Saccharomyces cerevisiae S288C: one gene and its partners. The gene in region 4 interacts genetically with the main gene of each other region. Each region holds a gene or a part of one and is shown on either strand. Other genes may lie near its edges. The genes, in order: BRN1, APE3, DNA2 and FOB1.

Region 1 (4,616 bases), on a different chromosome or scaffold from region 4:
AGGCCTTGTCCTACATGATATTCCCTATGCCCGCTTGGTATTTTCTCACTGAATAAGACATGGTGCATCTTCTCATCCTGGGCCAACTTGTTGTAAACCTCGCTTTTCTCGATTTGAGCGAGGATGTCAACCCTCTGCAGCTCCATAGGTTGGCGGCTCTTGGTCGCACTAATCAACTCCGCTGGCGTTTGCGGATCATTCAATGATAGAACACCGGCATCATCGGGCCACGCCTTTACAAACGCACCAACTCCTAATGTAAAACCTGCCGTAGGCAAAATTACTGCCCTGTTGACTAATTTAAATAGAAATGGAATAGTTCTGGACATATTGGAACTCACCCTCGATCTATCCTGTCATTTGGTCATTGTCTATAAAAATAAATACCTTGTTTTATATCCACTTTTCGAAGCGGTCCCCTTTCGGCGATAAAGGATTTCGTAAGCCCGAAGGCTTTAAGAAACTTTGCAGCACAAAAAAAAAAAAAAAAAAAAAAAAAAAGATCATCAACTATGACGCTGCCTGTGTTGTCGCTAGATCCTCATAATTCACTATCAAGTCATTATAGTTTTCGGTATGAGTTATCTGCAACCCATGCTCATTGGCTAAGTGTAGAAGGCATATAAAACAAAAGCTTGTTGAAATGTCCTTTAGTGTATCATCCGAATACATTTTACTTATACCCTGAATGATATCAGAAAACTTGAGCTCCTTTGTTGATTCATCTTCTGTGTGGGTTTCACTGTCATTAGAGCTTTGTTCTCTATTTTTCCTACTGTCATGTTCTTGTATCAAATTGTTGATCGATCTCCATACGTTTTTCTTTAATCTTCTTACGTCAACTTTTTTCGAAACTCTTGAATAAGTAACTTTATTTTCTCGAATGGGGAACTTATGATCTTCGTCATCCTGTAAATCAAGTTTCACACTGGCCTCCTCGTTATCATCTGTTCCTTCGAAAGCTTGGTTGAAGTCAACACCGTCCATGTCATCTTCAAACGGATTATCGAGCGCTCCACCCACCACATCACCAACCTCTTTAGACTGCTCCTTTTCTTTTTCCTCTTGTTCTTTCCTTTCGTAATTATCCGCCCAAAAGTGCTCATCTGCAATAGTAGGAATGTCGTTATTTGAATGGTTGGCAGAAACTGTGCTTTTTTCAAAAAGCCCCGAACTAACGTCGCCTCTGGTATGCTTCCTATGACTGAACAGACTCATTTTCTGCCCCGGTTTAATGAACAATCTTGTTATTCTATCAGTGGAAAAATGGAAGTCATCCGGCAGTAAATAATGTGTGTCGTTCTTTCTGTTCTTAATCGGCATGTCAATCTTTGTCCTTCCTTTTGAGGCAAAGACTTTGTCTTCAAAACTATCATCCGTTTTGAAGAAATCAATTTCCAGAACCTTTTTTTGTTTATGCTTCTTCTTCGTATCCATCGATTTGTCGTCCGTTGTGTTTTTGTCAGTAGTATCTCCTATAGTAGTTCGCGTTTCTTCCAACAGGTCGGATTCTTTATTCACTAAGTTTGCTTTCTTAAAATTTCGTACTTTCCAATGTTCTCTCCCTCTCCAGTTTCTATTTAGATTTTCGTCAAAGTATGCCATCAAATCTTTTTCGAATATACTTCCTGTGGTACTGTTGACATTATCATCATCTTGTTCATCATGTGATGTATTGTCATGATTTTCATCTGGATAGCACAGCTCCTGTTGCATGCCCATATCAAAGCCATCGCTATCATCTTCTGCATTATCTGGGACAGCTGCTTGCAATTCTTCTTCAGTTAAGAAGTTATCAAATCTGTTGTTAACATTTTCGATAAAGTCTTTCGCTTGATTAATATCTTCGACAACGTTCCTTAGTTGCTCAATCGATCCTGAAATTTCACACACCGCAATTTGATCAAATTTTATAAAATCCATACCAAGAGATAAAATCTCATCTTCCATGGAAGGTGCACTAATAACGGAATCATTTACGGTTGAGTCATTACGAGTACTTATCAATGACTGGCTAGGTTCATTTTCGTCATCTACTAAACTATCTCTTTCAATTAATTCTTCTTCTTTCCTTTGAAGTTTACCTTGCCCTACGTTTTGTGTATCCTTAATTGATGCATCGAAAATGACTCTTGCAGTGTTGTCTATGTTTAATGTGTTCAACAATAAACTCTTGGCGCCACCTTCATCGAAATCAACCAAGGCCTTTTTGAATAATGGATCAATTATTAATTCCTGGTCTAGCTCTTTCATCTTGATCGTTTCGAACTCCACCAATGTTGTTTCTAAAACTCTGTTGTACACTCTCCGCCTAGTGTTATTCACATCAGGATCATTAGATATAGGCATACCAGTTAAGGGATCAATCTCTATATTTGCTTCGTCACTGTCACCTCCAAGCCCTTCACCATTTCCCCCGTTACTGTCATCTCCGTTAGATGCCCCATTCGTCTTTCTTTGTGCCAACCCGCTCAATAACTTACCTGTTTCCGTTGTCACTGAATCAACTCTCGAAGAGTAAATCTTAATACACCCATCCAAGGTTGCAGATGCTTTCTGAAAATTGATGTTATTCTCGCCATCTTTCAAAACGTCCAAGTCATAAAAATAGTCGATCAATGCGAAATTCCAACTATTTCGGGAATTGATTTTATTATCTGTAGCCATTTTGATCCATTCTTCAAAATTTGCCATCATGGTGGATCTATTGGTAAAGAGATTATATTCTACTCTTTCATCGTCATCGTTATTTTCATACCTTAGTTGTGTAGTCATCTTATATAACTACCTGCTGGTTTTTTTTGCTCCAAAAAGTCCACTAAGATGATTTTTTGGTGCAATAAATAGAGTATTTAACTAGCCAATATAAAAAGTTCAACCATATGGATATTATCTTGACAATACTTCACTAAAATGTAAACAAAGAAAGCGCGAACAGAGCCGTTTACCGTTTCGCGTGATCAACATCACATAAAATAATTAGTGTATTATATATATATATATATATATATATATGTATATATCACTTATTTTAATAATCCTCTCCTAGCGTACACGGATGGCAAGAATAAACTGGCTTCAGGAACGTTCTCTTGTCAAAAATTTGAAAAGCTTGTAACCGCCAATAGATAACATACCGAGTGTCAGAGATTCTAAGAATTTCAAGATACGTGTTTGCTTTCCAGCCCTTTCTAAAGCTCTAGAATACGAGATATCGGATCTGAAAGATATCATTGTATACAAAGGTATCCACTTATCCTTCATTATAATACTAAAGAGAGCATCTAGCTTTTTCCTTAATAAAAACCGCTTGGATGTAACGTCATGTGACATTTCTTTATAGTTCCTTTTTGCCAGCTCAGTAATAGAAACTAGGTCCTTATGTCTTGTTTGAGTGTACTCAGTAAAGGCTCTTGAACGATCTCCTGAATGCTTTTTCAATAGCGCCATAAGAATTCTCACATCTTCAAATCCGCAATTCATACCTTGGCCGTAAAATGGAACCATTGCATGGGCAGCGTCGCCGAGTAGGATGGCCTTTCCGCCTGGTACATCGTATGGCTTACAGTTTACACAGACAAGACTTTCCTTTGGATAAGTGATAAACCTTTTGACAGCATCGTCCAAATCCATAATATTAATAATATCGGGAAAGTTCTCGATTAAGAATTCCCTCACACGTGACTTGGAAGTTATCAGATCTGATATTTGATCTTTAGAACCGAAAAAGGTTGAAGTGAACGAGCCGTCACTGTTGGCGAGCGCAATTAACATGAATTTATGACGAGGCCAAATGTGCAAATGGTCAGGAGCTATTGCAAAATTTCCGCCATAGTTTGGCTTGAATTCCTCAGTAGGCGGGATGTAAAGTTCAATGTAACGTAAATTCATATATTCTTGTGAAAAATCCATCTCAACTTTACGTTGCATTTGCGATCTCGTCGCAGAGTATGCTCCGTCACAACCTATGACAAAATCATACTTTTCAGTATGTGGGGTTTTCAAATCTTCCCCAATGGCAAAATGACAGATTTGTTTATCATCTGTCCATTCGATTTTGACTAATTTGTGACCGAACTTCAGTTCTGTTGTAGATTTTTCTAATTCGTCCAAAAGGCTATTATTTAATACAGATCTATTGATAGAATTAATAGCTTCTCCATGCAAGCCATACAATTGTGATTCCTGTCTGCCTTTCAAGTCATGAATCATCCTGCCTTTCATGGGAATCATATCTTGCAGAATATGTTCACAAGCATCCGGATCTATTGATTTCAGAGCATCAATGCCACGAGCAGAAATAGCCAAATTAATGGATTTCAAATTTTTATTTTTGGTGGTGTCCAATCGAGGATCTTGTCTAAAATCATATAGTGTGACATTGTAGCCTTCTTTGGAGAATGCCAAAGCTGCAAGGCAGCCTACTAATCCTGCACCTATAATGGCCACTGATTCAGACATATTTTCAAGTTAAACAGATTAACTGACTACGTGATTTTTTAACTGTCATTCAATATTTTATTATTAAAAACAACGTCCGTGCCAGAAATTCGGGCCTTTTATAAGAAATAGTGGCGGAAAAAAGAGTCAGTGCTAAGAATGGAATAAACTAGAGG
Region 2 (4,055 bases), on a different chromosome or scaffold from region 4:
ATACCAGTAGTCAAACCAAAAAAAATAGGAATGATGGCTATTTCAAAGATTTTGGCCATGGACAGGGATTTGGCCAACTTACTAAAAATAAGACATGGTGTAAAAAGGTCCACGTTCAACAGAGAAATGATTTTTTGACTTTGTTTGGGCAGCAGACCAGAACTAGCGCTCCAAAAACCAGCGAGTGCGATAATGACTACCTGTAAAACGGACTCAAAGACCAAATAAGCCAAATGAGCAAAACTAAATGTTTCAACCATATAGTAGAAATGCAGAGTAATCTATGAGGGTATGGTTAGTTGGGAATAACAAACCAAAAACGGGCTTCACACATATTGTTCAATTTACAATAATTTCCTGTTTAAACTTTTATATCACAATTTCAGTTTTTTTTTCTACCTTTTTTTCACTTTGATAAGGAGGCTGTGATCCCCTTGATGCACGTGCAGTTAAAAAAAAGAGGGTTTTTATTTTCTTTTAGATAATTATACAGAAATACTTGATGTGAACAGTACACTTAAATAATCAAGAAGTCGGCCCTGTACTTAAATTGTGGTTGTTGAGCATTCAATATGTCCACCTCTTTGTGCTTTTGGGTTTCTCTTTTTGGGAAACCCTCGAAAGAGTCAGCATAGGTGGCCACAGAGTGAGCAATCAACTTGGTGTTGGTAATGAATGCGTCCCAGGATAAGTTAGAGACATCATCACATAATTGATGGTAGCATCTGTCTAAGACCTTTCCGTTGTTGACGTTATTCTTTTCGGCACCAGTGGCAATACCACCGGCTGGAATTCCGTTGTTGATAAACCCGACATAATCGGATCTACCGTCAAATGGGACCAAAGTGTAGTTCAAGTGATGAGCCTTGTAGTAGTCTACGTACAGGTTTTTCAACTCTTCAGACCCCTTAGGGTTCTCCTTGTTGTTCGCATCATAAATTTCGTATTCATAGTTTGGAGAAGCCATCATGTCATAGTCCATAAATACTCTGATCTTGGAGTTTTCTTCTTTGGTCAAGTTATAAGCGTAGAAGTTAGAGCCTAGCAAACCTTCTTCTTCAGCAGCCCACCATGCAAAACGGACCTTGTTATTGATCTTGAAATGGGTCAATTGCTTAGCGACGTTCAATAGGGAAATAGTACCGGAACCATCGTCGTTGATACCTGGGCCCTCCTCAACAGAGTCTGAATGAGCACCAAGGGCAACAATATTATCAGGATCACCGTGTTTTGTGTCGGCAATGATGTTCTGGGTCTTGATAAATTCTACATAAGAGTCCATGGCAAAATATAATGAATAATCGATGTTCAATGCAATATTGGCAATCAATTTTTTACCAACTTTATATGGAACACCGACGGTGGCGACAGTGTGCTTGGTAGGTTCGCCTAATGTACCGTGTAGTCCTTCTTTAGATTTAGGTTCGTTGTCGTAAATGACCACAGCGGTGAAACCGAACTTACCGGCCAAATTACTCTTATCGCCAAAAGGACACTTACCTCTTTCGATAAGGGCAATTTGCTTTTCGTTGTGTCTTGGTGGGACTACAGAGGCGTAATCCTTCTCTTCACATCCCAAGTTAGGAATTTCGACTAGCTTACCTACGAACCCGTCCACAGGTGGAGAAAGTGCGAAAGCTGTAGTGTTAGCAAAGCTTTTACCGGTTTCGGCGTCAGAGAGGTTGAAAGAGATGATCTTACCGGATAAAGCTTCGAACTCTTGCAAAGAAACATCATAGTAGTCCTGCATGTCATCGAAAACATTCAATATGTATTCCATAGTCTTGTTATGACCCTTGGACCCGATCACACGGGTAGGGTGACCGTAGTCAGGAGTAGAATAGTTAGCTAAACGGTAGAGGTCCCAAGCAGTAGCATTCAAATCGTCAACTTTGATTTTATCTTGCAATTTTTCACTTTCTACATGTGGTTTCATGAAGTAAGGAATATGTGGCTTCGGAATGTTGGCAGCAACGGCAGAGCTATCATCGTCGTTTAATTGCGGAAGATAATTCTCAATTGGCTCTTCTTGTTGAAAGGCTTCCTGGAAGAATTGAGGAATGACATAGGCAGAGCCTAAATTGGTAGCGTAAAACGCAGCGACAGCCAATTGCTTCAAAGAAAAGTGCATGGTTGGCGTTTCTGTTTTTTTTTTTTTTTTGGCTTCTTCTACCAATTGTTGAAAGGCTGAACATGGTTTTGTTCCCATCCATTGTTCCTCGCTTTTATATTGAAAAAAGAAAAATTTTCCTAAGGACCCCTTCTTCCTGAGGGTTAATTTAAGGGAATTCAAAGTGTGTCAATAGTAATTAATAGAACTAATCAATATATTCAGTATAACTTTTATTATTAATAGTATATGATATTACTTTTTGAACTATATATTTATGGAAGCACAAAAACATAGAGAACACTCTTTCTGACGATAAGAAAGGTGATTATATCAAGATATATAATGAAGCAGCTCAATTGTCTTATTTCTTGTATCTCAAGTAGCTCCTTCTAGTGCTACACTTTAGTATTCTGCTTTGTTTATCATCGAACCTATCAAATTCCACGGAATCCTCTGGTGAATATGTGTTCTGGTGCCGTGTTGAGTTATCGTTATCCAATTTGTGTTCATTGGCGACAAGGCCCTTTTTCAGCTCATTCAAATCTATGCAATGATTATTAACGCCTTTCTTATCAATGGCAACCTTACCCAAATTGTTTCTGTTTCTAGTCAGGATTGTAGCCATTTCTCTATCTGAAATGTCCGCCTCCATGCTATCGTCAGTGGGGCTTTCTAAGGATTTTATGTTTATGAAACCATTGTTTTCATTGCAATAGATTATTTCAATGGGGGAAGGCTCTTGCTTTTTAAAGGAGAATAGACTATCAAAATATGAGAACCTAGAAAATATGGTCATTGTCAACTATAAGCGAGCTTAGAGATTTCGAATTGTTATGTTATAAATGGAGTGATAAGACTCTTGTTTGAGGCTTGGGCTTTTTGATTTATATTAAATTAAGATATGTAAAAAAAAAAATAAATTAAAAAACGTGTGTTCTATTTACAGTATCTACTTACTTATTTGTTTATATATTCCATTAGTTTACTTATCTTTATCCTTAACCTTTTTTTTTTGTGTGTGTGGGGAAGGGCGGTACATAATATTAGCGTCACAATATGCGCCCCTCGAAGAAACATGAGCGAATTCACGCAATTATGAGTCGCCACTCCCCTGCGAGAGTGCTACTGCGATATTGACGTCTGATGATCGGAACGTTATGCTCTAAACTTGTATTTGGTTTACAATCATACCACTTGTCTACAAACCCAGTGTTTTCCACGAAGTAGTCATGGCTGGCTAAGGAAACGCCGAGCCATTTGTTCTTTAGGGTACTTGAAAATCCACTGGTTATGACACTGTTTCTTAGAAGTTCGCATAAATCTGCTGAATGTAAACGGTATATACTAGCCGCTACACTATACTCTTCTATAATGGGTTCTTTCGTATACGAATTGTTGTAGAGGATAGATTCTGAGCTCAGCGATATCTTGAACCCCATTTCAAAAAACTTCATGAAAGGGTTCTTCTTATAAGGCTTTGAGGGCTCTAGGACAAGCCCCGTCGGGGCTTGTTCTTGCAGCATTGTAGGCTTTGAATCTACTATGGAATTCAAAGGCGCCACAACCATGGGAATTTGACTTAGATAGAAAAGATACACCAGTGATGGTGGTGCATTCCAGAGATTTTCTGCATTTAGAAACCCTCCACAGGCGAGCAAGAAATTGTTTAAAATAGCTTCCGTATGTTCTGTGAAGTTCAGTGTATTACTAAACTGTGAAGTTCGATTCATTGAGGTGGGAGAACATGAACTTCTCAAAGTGAAGGTATTTTGATGAAGGGCTTGGCGGATATGGTTCAATTTTGTTAGGTTGACGTAGACGTAATACATATATTGTGAAATGGTTGGATTATCACCGCCAGATGTCCAATCTTTTGGCAAGCAACTAACTGCTGTGAAGTTTTTCCAAATATAGTTGTCCGTATCTTGAATACATAGATCAA
Region 3 (6,697 bases), on a different chromosome or scaffold from region 4:
GATCACTATCGAATCTCAAATGAGAGATTTGATTTTGACTGAGTACGGCAGAAAATACAATGTCAATATATCTGCCTTAACTCAAACGGAAATTAAAGATATTATATTGGGTCAAAATATCAAGGCACCATCTGTGAAGAGACAAAAAATGGCTGAATTAGAAGCTGCCAGGTCAGAAAAGCAGAACGACGAAGAAGCTGCAGGTGCATCAACTGTTATGAAAACTAAAACTATCAATGCGCAAGGTGAGGAGATAGTTGTAGTAGCTTCCGCTGATTACGAAAGTCAAACGTTTAGTTCAAAGAATGAATGGAGAAAATCTGCAATTGCTAATACACTATTATATTTGAGGTTAAAAAACATTTATGTTTCGGCTGATGATTTCGTGGAGGAACAGAATGTTTACGTCCTTCCAAAAAATTTATTAAAGAAGTTTATTGAGATATCCGATGTGAAAATCCAGGTGGCGGCCTTTATTTATGGTATGTCAGCAAAAGATCATCCGAAGGTGAAAGAAATCAAGACTGTTGTGCTGGTACCTCAATTAGGCCACGTAGGATCCGTTCAGATAAGCAACATCCCTGACATCGGAGACCTTCCGGATACTGAAGGCCTTGAACTACTCGGTTGGATCCATACCCAGACAGAAGAACTTAAATTCATGGCTGCGTCTGAAGTAGCAACTCATTCTAAACTTTTTGCGGATAAGAAAAGAGACTGCATTGATATTTCAATTTTTTCCACCCCGGGATCAGTATCATTAAGCGCTTATAACCTGACCGACGAAGGTTACCAATGGGGTGAAGAAAATAAGGATATAATGAACGTGCTATCGGAAGGGTTTGAGCCTACTTTCAGCACGCATGCCCAATTACTTCTCTCTGACCGTATCACAGGTAATTTTATAATTCCATCTGGAAACGTTTGGAACTACACATTTATGGGAACAGCATTTAACCAAGAAGGTGACTACAATTTTAAATACGGCATTCCTTTGGAATTCTATAATGAGATGCATCGTCCAGTACACTTTTTACAGTTTAGCGAATTGGCGGGGGACGAAGAGTTAGAGGCCGAACAAATCGATGTATTTAGCTGAATATATTCCCCAATAAACTGGAATCTGTTATTTCATAGATATATATGTAAGTATAAGTTTGTATGTATAATATTCAACGCATTTTTTATGCCCGTCGTAGTTGCTACCTACCACACGATGATGTATTATAATTTCGGAACTACTTCAAAGCTACGCTTTCCGCACTATGAAAAGCTATAAGTATGTGAAAATTGGTCATTGACTGTGATTCTATTTCAAAAAGTAACCAAAGGAGATAGACATCGTTCGGACAGAAAATGGTCCGTTGTCACTCCCATTCCATTATGTCCTTCATATAGAAATTGGATATTCTTGTTTTCATTTCGCGCAATAAAGCAATTCCGTGCGGCAGAAAGAACTTATATATATTTAACTGATCTTACGCTATTTATGGCAAAACTTGTGTTACATTTTTGAAGATAAAGTTACAATCATTACGGCAGCCTCAAAACAAAATTGGGAGAAAACATACTCAAGTGAGTACTCATTTTGTGCAAGCAAACACTGACAATTGAAGAGATCGTCAGGATGCCCGGAACGCCACAGAAGAACAAGAGGTCTGCGAGTATATCTGTTTCACCTGCGAAGAAGACAGAGGAAAAAGAAATAATACAAAATGATTCAAAGGCGATATTATCTAAGCAAACTAAGAGGAAAAAAAAGTATGCTTTTGCTCCTATAAATAACTTAAATGGGAAGAACACCAAGGTATCCAATGCAAGTGTCCTAAAGTCAATAGCCGTTTCACAAGTACGAAATACATCAAGAACAAAAGATATAAACAAAGCAGTTAGCAAGAGCGTAAAGCAATTACCAAATTCACAAGTTAAACCGAAACGGGAAATGTCTAATTTGAGTAGGCATCACGATTTCACTCAAGACGAGGACGGCCCCATGGAAGAAGTAATATGGAAATATTCACCTTTACAACGAGATATGTCCGACAAAACAACAAGCGCTGCCGAATACTCTGATGACTACGAAGATGTCCAAAATCCCTCTTCTACACCTATAGTCCCTAATCGACTGAAAACTGTTCTTAGTTTCACAAATATCCAAGTACCCAACGCTGACGTAAATCAACTCATTCAAGAAAATGGAAATGAGCAAGTGCGTCCTAAACCAGCAGAAATATCTACCAGGGAGTCTCTCCGTAATATAGATGATATTCTCGATGATATAGAGGGCGATTTAACTATAAAACCGACGATAACGAAATTCAGCGATTTGCCATCTTCACCCATCAAGGCACCCAACGTTGAAAAAAAAGCAGAGGTGAATGCAGAAGAAGTAGATAAAATGGATTCAACAGGAGATAGCAACGATGGCGATGACTCTTTGATAGATATTTTAACTCAAAAGTATGTTGAGAAACGCAAGAGTGAGAGTCAGATAACAATTCAAGGCAACACCAATCAAAAAAGTGGAGCCCAGGAAAGTTGTGGGAAGAATGATAACACAAAATCGAGAGGAGAAATTGAAGATCATGAAAATGTAGACAATCAAGCCAAAACAGGCAATGCATTTTATGAGAATGAAGAAGACAGTAATTGCCAAAGAATTAAAAAAAATGAAAAAATAGAATACAATTCTTCAGACGAATTTTCAGACGATTCACTAATTGAACTATTGAACGAAACTCAAACACAAGTGGAACCTAACACTATTGAACAAGATTTAGACAAAGTGGAGAAAATGGTCTCTGACGATTTGAGAATTGCTACTGATTCCACTTTATCCGCATATGCTCTCAGAGCTAAGTCTGGTGCTCCAAGAGACGGCGTAGTACGATTAGTAATAGTAAGCTTACGTAGTGTTGAATTGCCAAAAATTGGAACGCAAAAAATACTAGAGTGTATAGACGGCAAAGGCGAACAAAGTTCTGTTGTCGTTCGACATCCTTGGGTATATTTGGAATTTGAGGTTGGGGATGTAATACATATTATAGAAGGGAAAAATATTGAAAACAAACGGCTTCTTTCTGACGACAAAAACCCTAAAACTCAACTGGCTAACGACAACCTGTTGGTGCTAAACCCTGATGTATTATTTTCGGCAACATCAGTCGGAAGTTCAGTAGGTTGTTTAAGACGTTCAATTCTGCAAATGCAATTTCAAGATCCCCGCGGAGAACCAAGCCTTGTCATGACTTTAGGCAATATCGTACACGAGTTATTGCAAGACTCAATCAAATACAAGCTCTCGCATAATAAAATTTCTATGGAAATCATAATACAAAAGCTGGATTCTTTGTTAGAAACTTATTCTTTTTCAATTATCATTTGTAATGAAGAAATCCAGTACGTTAAAGAATTAGTTATGAAAGAACATGCTGAAAACATTTTGTACTTCGTCAATAAATTTGTTTCGAAAAGTAACTATGGTTGCTACACATCAATTTCCGGAACAAGAAGAACACAGCCAATTTCTATATCCAATGTGATTGATATTGAAGAAAACATTTGGTCTCCAATATATGGTCTTAAAGGGTTCCTAGATGCAACTGTTGAAGCTAATGTTGAAAACAATAAAAAACACATCGTTCCTTTAGAAGTGAAAACTGGAAAATCCAGAAGCGTTTCATACGAGGTTCAAGGCCTTATTTATACACTTCTGTTAAATGATCGCTATGAGATACCGATAGAGTTTTTTCTTCTTTATTTTACGAGGGATAAAAATATGACAAAGTTCCCTTCTGTTCTGCACTCCATTAAACATATTCTCATGTCCCGAAATAGAATGAGTATGAATTTTAAGCATCAACTCCAAGAGGTTTTCGGACAGGCTCAATCAAGGTTTGAATTACCACCCTTACTGCGCGATTCATCTTGTGATTCATGTTTCATCAAAGAATCATGCATGGTGTTGAATAAGCTACTAGAGGACGGGACACCAGAAGAAAGTGGCCTGGTAGAAGGTGAGTTTGAAATTTTGACAAACCATTTGTCGCAAAATCTCGCCAACTACAAAGAGTTTTTTACAAAATATAATGATCTAATAACTAAGGAGGAGTCAAGTATAACATGTGTAAATAAAGAACTTTTCTTATTGGATGGTTCCACAAGAGAATCCAGAAGTGGAAGGTGCCTTTCTGGCTTGGTTGTGTCAGAGGTGGTTGAACATGAAAAAACAGAGGGAGCGTATATATATTGCTTCTCAAGACGTAGAAATGATAATAACTCGCAGTCGATGTTATCATCTCAAATTGCTGCTAATGACTTTGTTATTATTAGTGATGAGGAGGGTCATTTTTGCTTGTGCCAAGGTCGTGTACAATTTATAAATCCCGCTAAAATTGGTATCTCCGTAAAACGAAAGTTATTAAACAATAGGCTTCTAGATAAGGAAAAAGGAGTCACTACCATCCAAAGTGTGGTCGAATCAGAGCTAGAACAATCCAGTCTCATAGCTACCCAAAATTTGGTCACATATAGAATCGACAAAAATGATATCCAACAGAGTTTGTCTTTAGCGCGATTTAATCTTTTAAGCTTGTTTTTACCAGCTGTTTCACCTGGCGTGGATATTGTTGACGAAAGGAGTAAATTATGTCGGAAGACAAAGAGATCTGATGGAGGTAATGAAATACTGCGATCACTTTTAGTTGATAATAGAGCACCTAAGTTTAGAGATGCAAATGATGATCCCGTCATTCCGTATAAGCTTTCAAAGGATACAACATTGAACTTGAATCAAAAAGAAGCAATAGACAAAGTAATGAGGGCCGAAGATTATGCATTGATATTGGGAATGCCAGGGACTGGTAAGACTACTGTTATCGCAGAAATTATTAAAATTCTCGTTTCCGAGGGGAAACGCGTGCTTTTGACATCATACACACATTCAGCAGTGGATAATATTTTAATAAAATTGAGGAACACCAACATTAGCATAATGAGATTGGGAATGAAACATAAGGTCCATCCTGACACGCAAAAATATGTCCCGAATTACGCGTCAGTGAAAAGTTATAACGATTATTTGTCCAAAATTAACAGCACCTCTGTTGTTGCTACCACCTGCTTAGGAATTAACGATATACTATTTACACTAAATGAAAAGGATTTTGATTATGTGATTTTGGACGAGGCAAGTCAAATTTCAATGCCTGTCGCTTTGGGACCTCTGCGGTATGGAAATAGGTTTATTATGGTAGGAGATCATTACCAGCTACCGCCATTAGTTAAAAATGACGCAGCTCGATTAGGTGGGTTAGAAGAGTCACTGTTCAAGACTTTCTGTGAAAAGCATCCGGAAAGCGTTGCAGAACTGACTTTACAGTACCGTATGTGCGGCGATATTGTAACTTTGTCTAATTTCCTAATTTATGATAATAAATTAAAATGCGGGAATAACGAAGTTTTTGCTCAATCTTTAGAGTTACCAATGCCTGAGGCCTTGTCGCGCTATAGGAATGAATCGGCTAACTCTAAGCAGTGGCTTGAGGATATACTAGAGCCTACAAGAAAAGTGGTATTTTTAAATTACGATAACTGCCCGGATATTATCGAACAAAGCGAAAAGGATAACATTACGAATCACGGGGAGGCAGAATTGACTCTACAATGTGTGGAAGGAATGTTATTGAGCGGCGTACCATGCGAAGATATTGGTGTAATGACGTTATACAGAGCACAGTTAAGATTACTGAAGAAGATATTCAACAAAAATGTGTATGACGGGCTAGAGATCTTGACTGCTGATCAGTTTCAAGGTCGTGACAAAAAGTGCATTATTATTTCCATGGTTAGAAGAAATTCTCAATTAAATGGAGGAGCGCTGCTGAAAGAGCTAAGAAGAGTCAATGTTGCCATGACAAGGGCCAAATCCAAGCTGATCATTATAGGTTCAAAAAGTACAATCGGCTCTGTTCCTGAAATAAAATCGTTCGTGAACCTGTTAGAAGAGCGTAATTGGGTCTATACAATGTGCAAGGATGCACTCTACAAATACAAATTTCCCGACAGATCAAACGCTATTGATGAGGCACGCAAAGGTTGTGGAAAAAGAACAGGTGCCAAACCCATCACATCAAAGTCTAAATTCGTAAGCGATAAACCTATCATAAAGGAAATTCTACAAGAGTATGAAAGTTGACAGGGGGAATAAGAAGAGCTTCTCCATAACAGGAAAGCTATCACAGCATAAAATATCTATGTCATTTTATAAAGTTTGGTATATATAACACGTAATATTAGCATCTGAGGTTCGAAAGCTCGCATGTGTGTCTTTTCTAAAAAGTTTTCGTTTGAACTTTTCCAAAAGCTTCCTCATTAACGAACCAGGATGTTTTTTCACCAAATAATTTGTTAACCAATGCGGTTGGCAATTGATCGTTTTTCAAGTCAAAGATCTCATGCATTATATTTTGTTTGGAACTGCCCTCAGCCACAAAACACAGGGCTTTGGCGTCTTTCAACACAGGCAGAGTGAAGGTGATTCTGTCACTTGGAGGCTTGGGAGAATCGTGGCACCAAGCAACTCTTTTGGTTGTTTCGTTCAGCAAGTACCTATGTGTTTCTCCAGGGAATAAGGAACAAGTGTGTCCATCAGGACCACAGCCCAACAGTACCAAATCAAGCACTTGAGGTACGATAC
Region 4 (3,797 bases):
GGGTTCGGACAAAGACCCGGGACTTATCATGTGCGAACAACGTTTTTGGCTCCAGGGACTAAATGGATTCAAGACTGGAAAGAATTTCATCAAGATTTCTTCAGCAAGTATCGTAATTGAATGAAAAAAAAAAACTAATGATAATGGCTTTCTATTTGTTTTGCATCCATGGTGGGGGTGAAGTTTAAATTTGTAATAGTATACATGCATCATTCTTTACTAAGGGAAATAAGGAAAAGTATATATCTGCCTCTTGTAATATTGTTCAAGGAAATAAATTTTGGAGCATTCCTCTGCATCTATTGTTCAATTAAAAAAAAAAAAAAAAAAAAAAAAAAAAAAAAAAAGTAATTATTCATATAAAACCACCTTGCGGGCAAGATCATATTATCCAAGTTGATACTTATTTAAAAATATAAAAATTTTTTAACCGCGTACATTAAATACAGGGTCATATACAGGAAGAGCTTTCAACACCTTTTTGAATACTTTATATGCAATAGGTGCTTTTTTTTTTCACCTATGGTGACTCCTCCTTTCATTCTATCCTACATATTATTACAATTCCATTGATGTGCCAAAGTCTCTTGTTTGATCTCCATTACCCTGTTGGTCTAATTTCTGTCGTTTTGTTGACGGCGATTCCAGAGTTTGATAGTAGGAAGTTTCTGGTCTAGTTATTTCGACACTTTGATCTACTTGTGATGCACCGTCACTTTCTTTTTGATCCCCTTTTTCAGGCTCTTCTGTTCCCTGCATTGGGGCTGCCACGCCGGTGGACTCTATTCGGTCCTCATCGACATTATGAGGAGGCTTTTCTTCGGGAGTTAAGGTATTAGGTTCAAATTCGCCCTCTGAAGAATCATGTGCCAAATCATCATACTCATCGATATAGTTTTTTTCAGTTAGATCAAATTGTTTTTGCACTTCTTCTTCAAAGTTATCATTTCCTATATTGTTATTATGAAGAATTCCATTATTGTTACAGCTATTATCCGCTTCATTAGCAAGGGCAAAAGTATTGACATCTTCCAAATATATAAGACCTTTTCCACCTGCCATCTTGAACATATTACGGGAATATGTGTTTTCTATAACCCTTTCTCTCTTAGTCTCAAACTTGGCATTGTGACCTGGAACTTCACTAAGTAGTACTTGCACAGGTTTACGTTTCGTTCTCTTATTTCTCCTTCGGTTGAATCTGTAAGGGCCATATCTTAGGCACTTACCCCAATCGGCTAGACATTCCTTCTTATAACTATTTAGAGCATACTGAATGCACAGTATACCCCCAGTATGAAATCTCGCAGAACTCTTCAAACCCAAGCCAATACGGAGACCGTATTTTGATGCAATTTCTTCACAAATATCATAAAGATCATCTTTATCTAAAGTGCTTGATGTTACGAAAATTGGAACCCTAGCAAATGTTAAAAAAAGTGAGGAAACAACTGGGATAAGATGTTTGAATTTGGTACTCTTAAGTGGTAATAACCACATAAAACTAGAGCGATAGTCTCGGCATAAAAGGACATAAGAATATTTTCCCTCAATAGCTTCTCCATTGAAGGGTTCGAATACCTCAATATGTATCCTTTCCATTGGTAGTAGTTTATCGTACATGTCAGGACGTTTATATTCCTTCAATGGTTTAATTTTGCCCTTTTTATTACATTTTGAACAAAATTGCTGGACCCAATCGATGATGGCATGACTAATATTGGCAAAATGAGAAAATAAAAAGGAATGTAATGTTTTACCCCTAAGATGCTTATTCATCAAGTGTGTTGCCATCACCATGTCGTATACATGCTTTGGCTCACAGTATATTTTATCATTATTTCGGCCATCTCTAACATTTCCTTCATCATCAACATAATACTGTCTTTGCAAAAATAACAGCTTGTTTTCTGCCACTACACCATCGTATTTATCACTTATTTGTTGCAAGGTATCTGCAGTTAAAGATTTTGTTTTTATTAGTTCATATATTTTCTGCGTTAGTTGTCTTGTCAGAGATTCAAGAAAGATTGGTGTTTCTCTTTCTCCCCTTTCCAATAATTCTAAGTTCAAATAAGAGTCTACGTACTCAGTATATGATTCCCCCATAGAGGGAAGTATCAGTAGACGATCTTTTGAGGACTCTCTTGATTCCCCAGGTGACGTTGCCTTTCTTCTCTGCGATTTCCTCGTAACTGATTCTGATGGTACCGAGTCATCATCATCAAACAACACGTCATTGTAACGCGGTTTCGTCATTGTTATCCTCAGCACAAATTCACACTCACACAATCGTTAAATTGTTCTCCCCCCTGAAGGCTTAATTCAATGTCGTTAAAATGAATACATGCGATGAGGAATCACCTCGCAATTTTTTTTTCTTTTCAATATATCGCGAAAAAGAAAAAATATCAGTATTATCATGTAAATAATTATGGCTGACACCTCATATTGAATGTGGGGGTAAAGATACTCTGGGTTTCTTGTTTTGATATATATAAGCTCTTCCTGGAAACCTCGATCACAATGTTAGGTATGATGAAGAAATTGAACCTTTATAACACCCGTTTGACTAAATGCTACAGACCAGTATTAGTAAATGTGGAAAGCTGCACACCCAGACCGCTGAGTACAATGAAAAGATGTAAAGAGACGAAGGAACAAACATCTGCAAAGTACATTATTAAGGCTATATGAAAAGCAGGAAACGCCAAAACAATATGCAAAATGAAACACGGGAGCCAGCGGTATTGTCGTCACAGGAAACCTCGATTTCTCGCATTTCTCCACAAGATCCAGAAGCAAAATTCTACGTTGGTGTAGATGTCGGAACAGGCTCTGCAAGGGCATGTGTTATCGATCAATCTGGTAACATGTTGTCGCTAGCAGAAAAACCCATAAAAAGGGAACAATTGATATCCAATTTTATTACTCAGTCTTCAAGAGAAATCTGGAATGCAGTTTGCTATTGTGTTAGAACTGTTGTTGAAGAATCAGGAGTTGACCCTGAAAGAGTTCGTGGAATTGGTTTTGATGCGACTTGTTCCTTAGTAGTCGTATCCGCTACCAATTTTGAAGAAATTGCAGTTGGACCGGATTTTACCAATAATGACCAGAATATCATATTATGGATGGACCATAGGGCGATGAAGGAGACTGAAGAAATCAACTCATCTGGTGATAAATGTTTAAAATATGTGGGAGGGCAAATGTCTGTTGAAATGGAAATTCCGAAGATTAAGTGGTTGAAGAACAACTTAGAAGCTGGAATTTTTCAGGATTGTAAGTTTTTTGACCTTCCGGATTACTTGACTTTCAAAGCCACGGGAAAAGAGAATAGGTCATTTTGTTCTGCTGTTTGTAAGCAGGGATTTCTACCAGTGGGTGTCGAAGGTTCCGATATAGGCTGGTCCAAAGAATTCTTAAATTCAATTGGGCTTTCAGAGCTTACGAAGAATGATTTTGAAAGACTGGGTGGATCGTTAAGGGAAAAAAAAAACTTTCTGACCGCAGGTGAATGTATCAGCCCGTTAGATAAAAAGGCTGCCTGTCAATTAGGCTTGACAGAGCATTGTGTAGTAAGTTCAGGAATTATTGATGCATATGCAGGCTGGGTAGGGACGGTAGCCGCCAAGCCGGAATCAGCAGTAAAAGGTCTTGCCGAGACCGAAAATTATAAAAAGGATTTCAATGGTGCAATTGGCAGATTGGCAGCTGTTGCCGGTACGTCTACGTGTCATATTTTGTTATCAAAAAACCCTATATTTGTCCATGGCGTTTGGGGGCCTTATAGAGAT

Evidence for each region.
Region 1: mutations in FOB1 (region 4) and BRN1 are lethal when combined (synthetic lethality), as found in Saccharomyces cerevisiae (2 studies listed by BioGRID, with this or other methods).
Region 2: mutations in FOB1 (region 4) and APE3 together harm fitness more than expected from each alone (negative genetic interaction), as found in Saccharomyces cerevisiae (2 studies listed by BioGRID).
Region 3: of FOB1 (region 4) and DNA2, a mutation in one rescues a mutant of the other (synthetic rescue), as found in Saccharomyces cerevisiae (2 studies listed by BioGRID, with this or other methods).

Annotation. Positions count from the first base shown.
Region 1 is NC_001134.8:38,990-43,605, reverse strand, and holds BRN1 (condensin subunit BRN1), read right to left. Parts: upstream 2,776-4,616; coding exon 511-2,775; downstream 1-510. Other genes in the region: MRX3 (Mrx3p), read right to left, coding at 1-329; BNA4 (kynurenine 3-monooxygenase), read right to left, coding at 3,079-4,461. UniProt on the Saccharomyces cerevisiae protein: Regulatory subunit of the condensin complex, a complex required for conversion of interphase chromatin into mitotic-like condense chromosomes.
Region 2 is NC_001134.8:772,776-776,830, reverse strand, and holds APE3 (aminopeptidase Y), read right to left. Parts: upstream 2,132-4,055; coding exon 518-2,131; downstream 1-517. Other genes in the region: YBR287W (uncharacterized protein), read right to left, coding at 1-260; HAB1 (Hab1p), read right to left, coding at 2,475-2,909; YBR284W (metallo-dependent hydrolase superfamily protein), read right to left, coding at 3,199-4,055.
Region 3 is NC_001140.6:424,109-430,805, reverse strand, and holds DNA2 (bifunctional ATP-dependent DNA helicase/ssDNA endodeoxyribonuclease DNA2), read left to right. Parts: upstream 1-1,627; coding exon 1,628-6,196; downstream 6,197-6,697. Other genes in the region: U4/U6-U5 snRNP complex subunit PRP8, read left to right, coding at 1-1,099; 6-phosphogluconolactonase SOL3, read right to left, coding at 6,333-6,697. UniProt on the Saccharomyces cerevisiae protein: Key enzyme involved in DNA replication and DNA repair.
Region 4 is NC_001136.10:674,564-678,360, reverse strand, and holds FOB1 (replication fork barrier binding protein FOB1), read right to left. Parts: upstream 2,260-3,797; coding exon 559-2,259; downstream 1-558. Other genes in the region: alanine transaminase ALT2, read left to right, coding at 1-120; YDR109C (putative phosphotransferase), read left to right, coding at 2,694-3,797.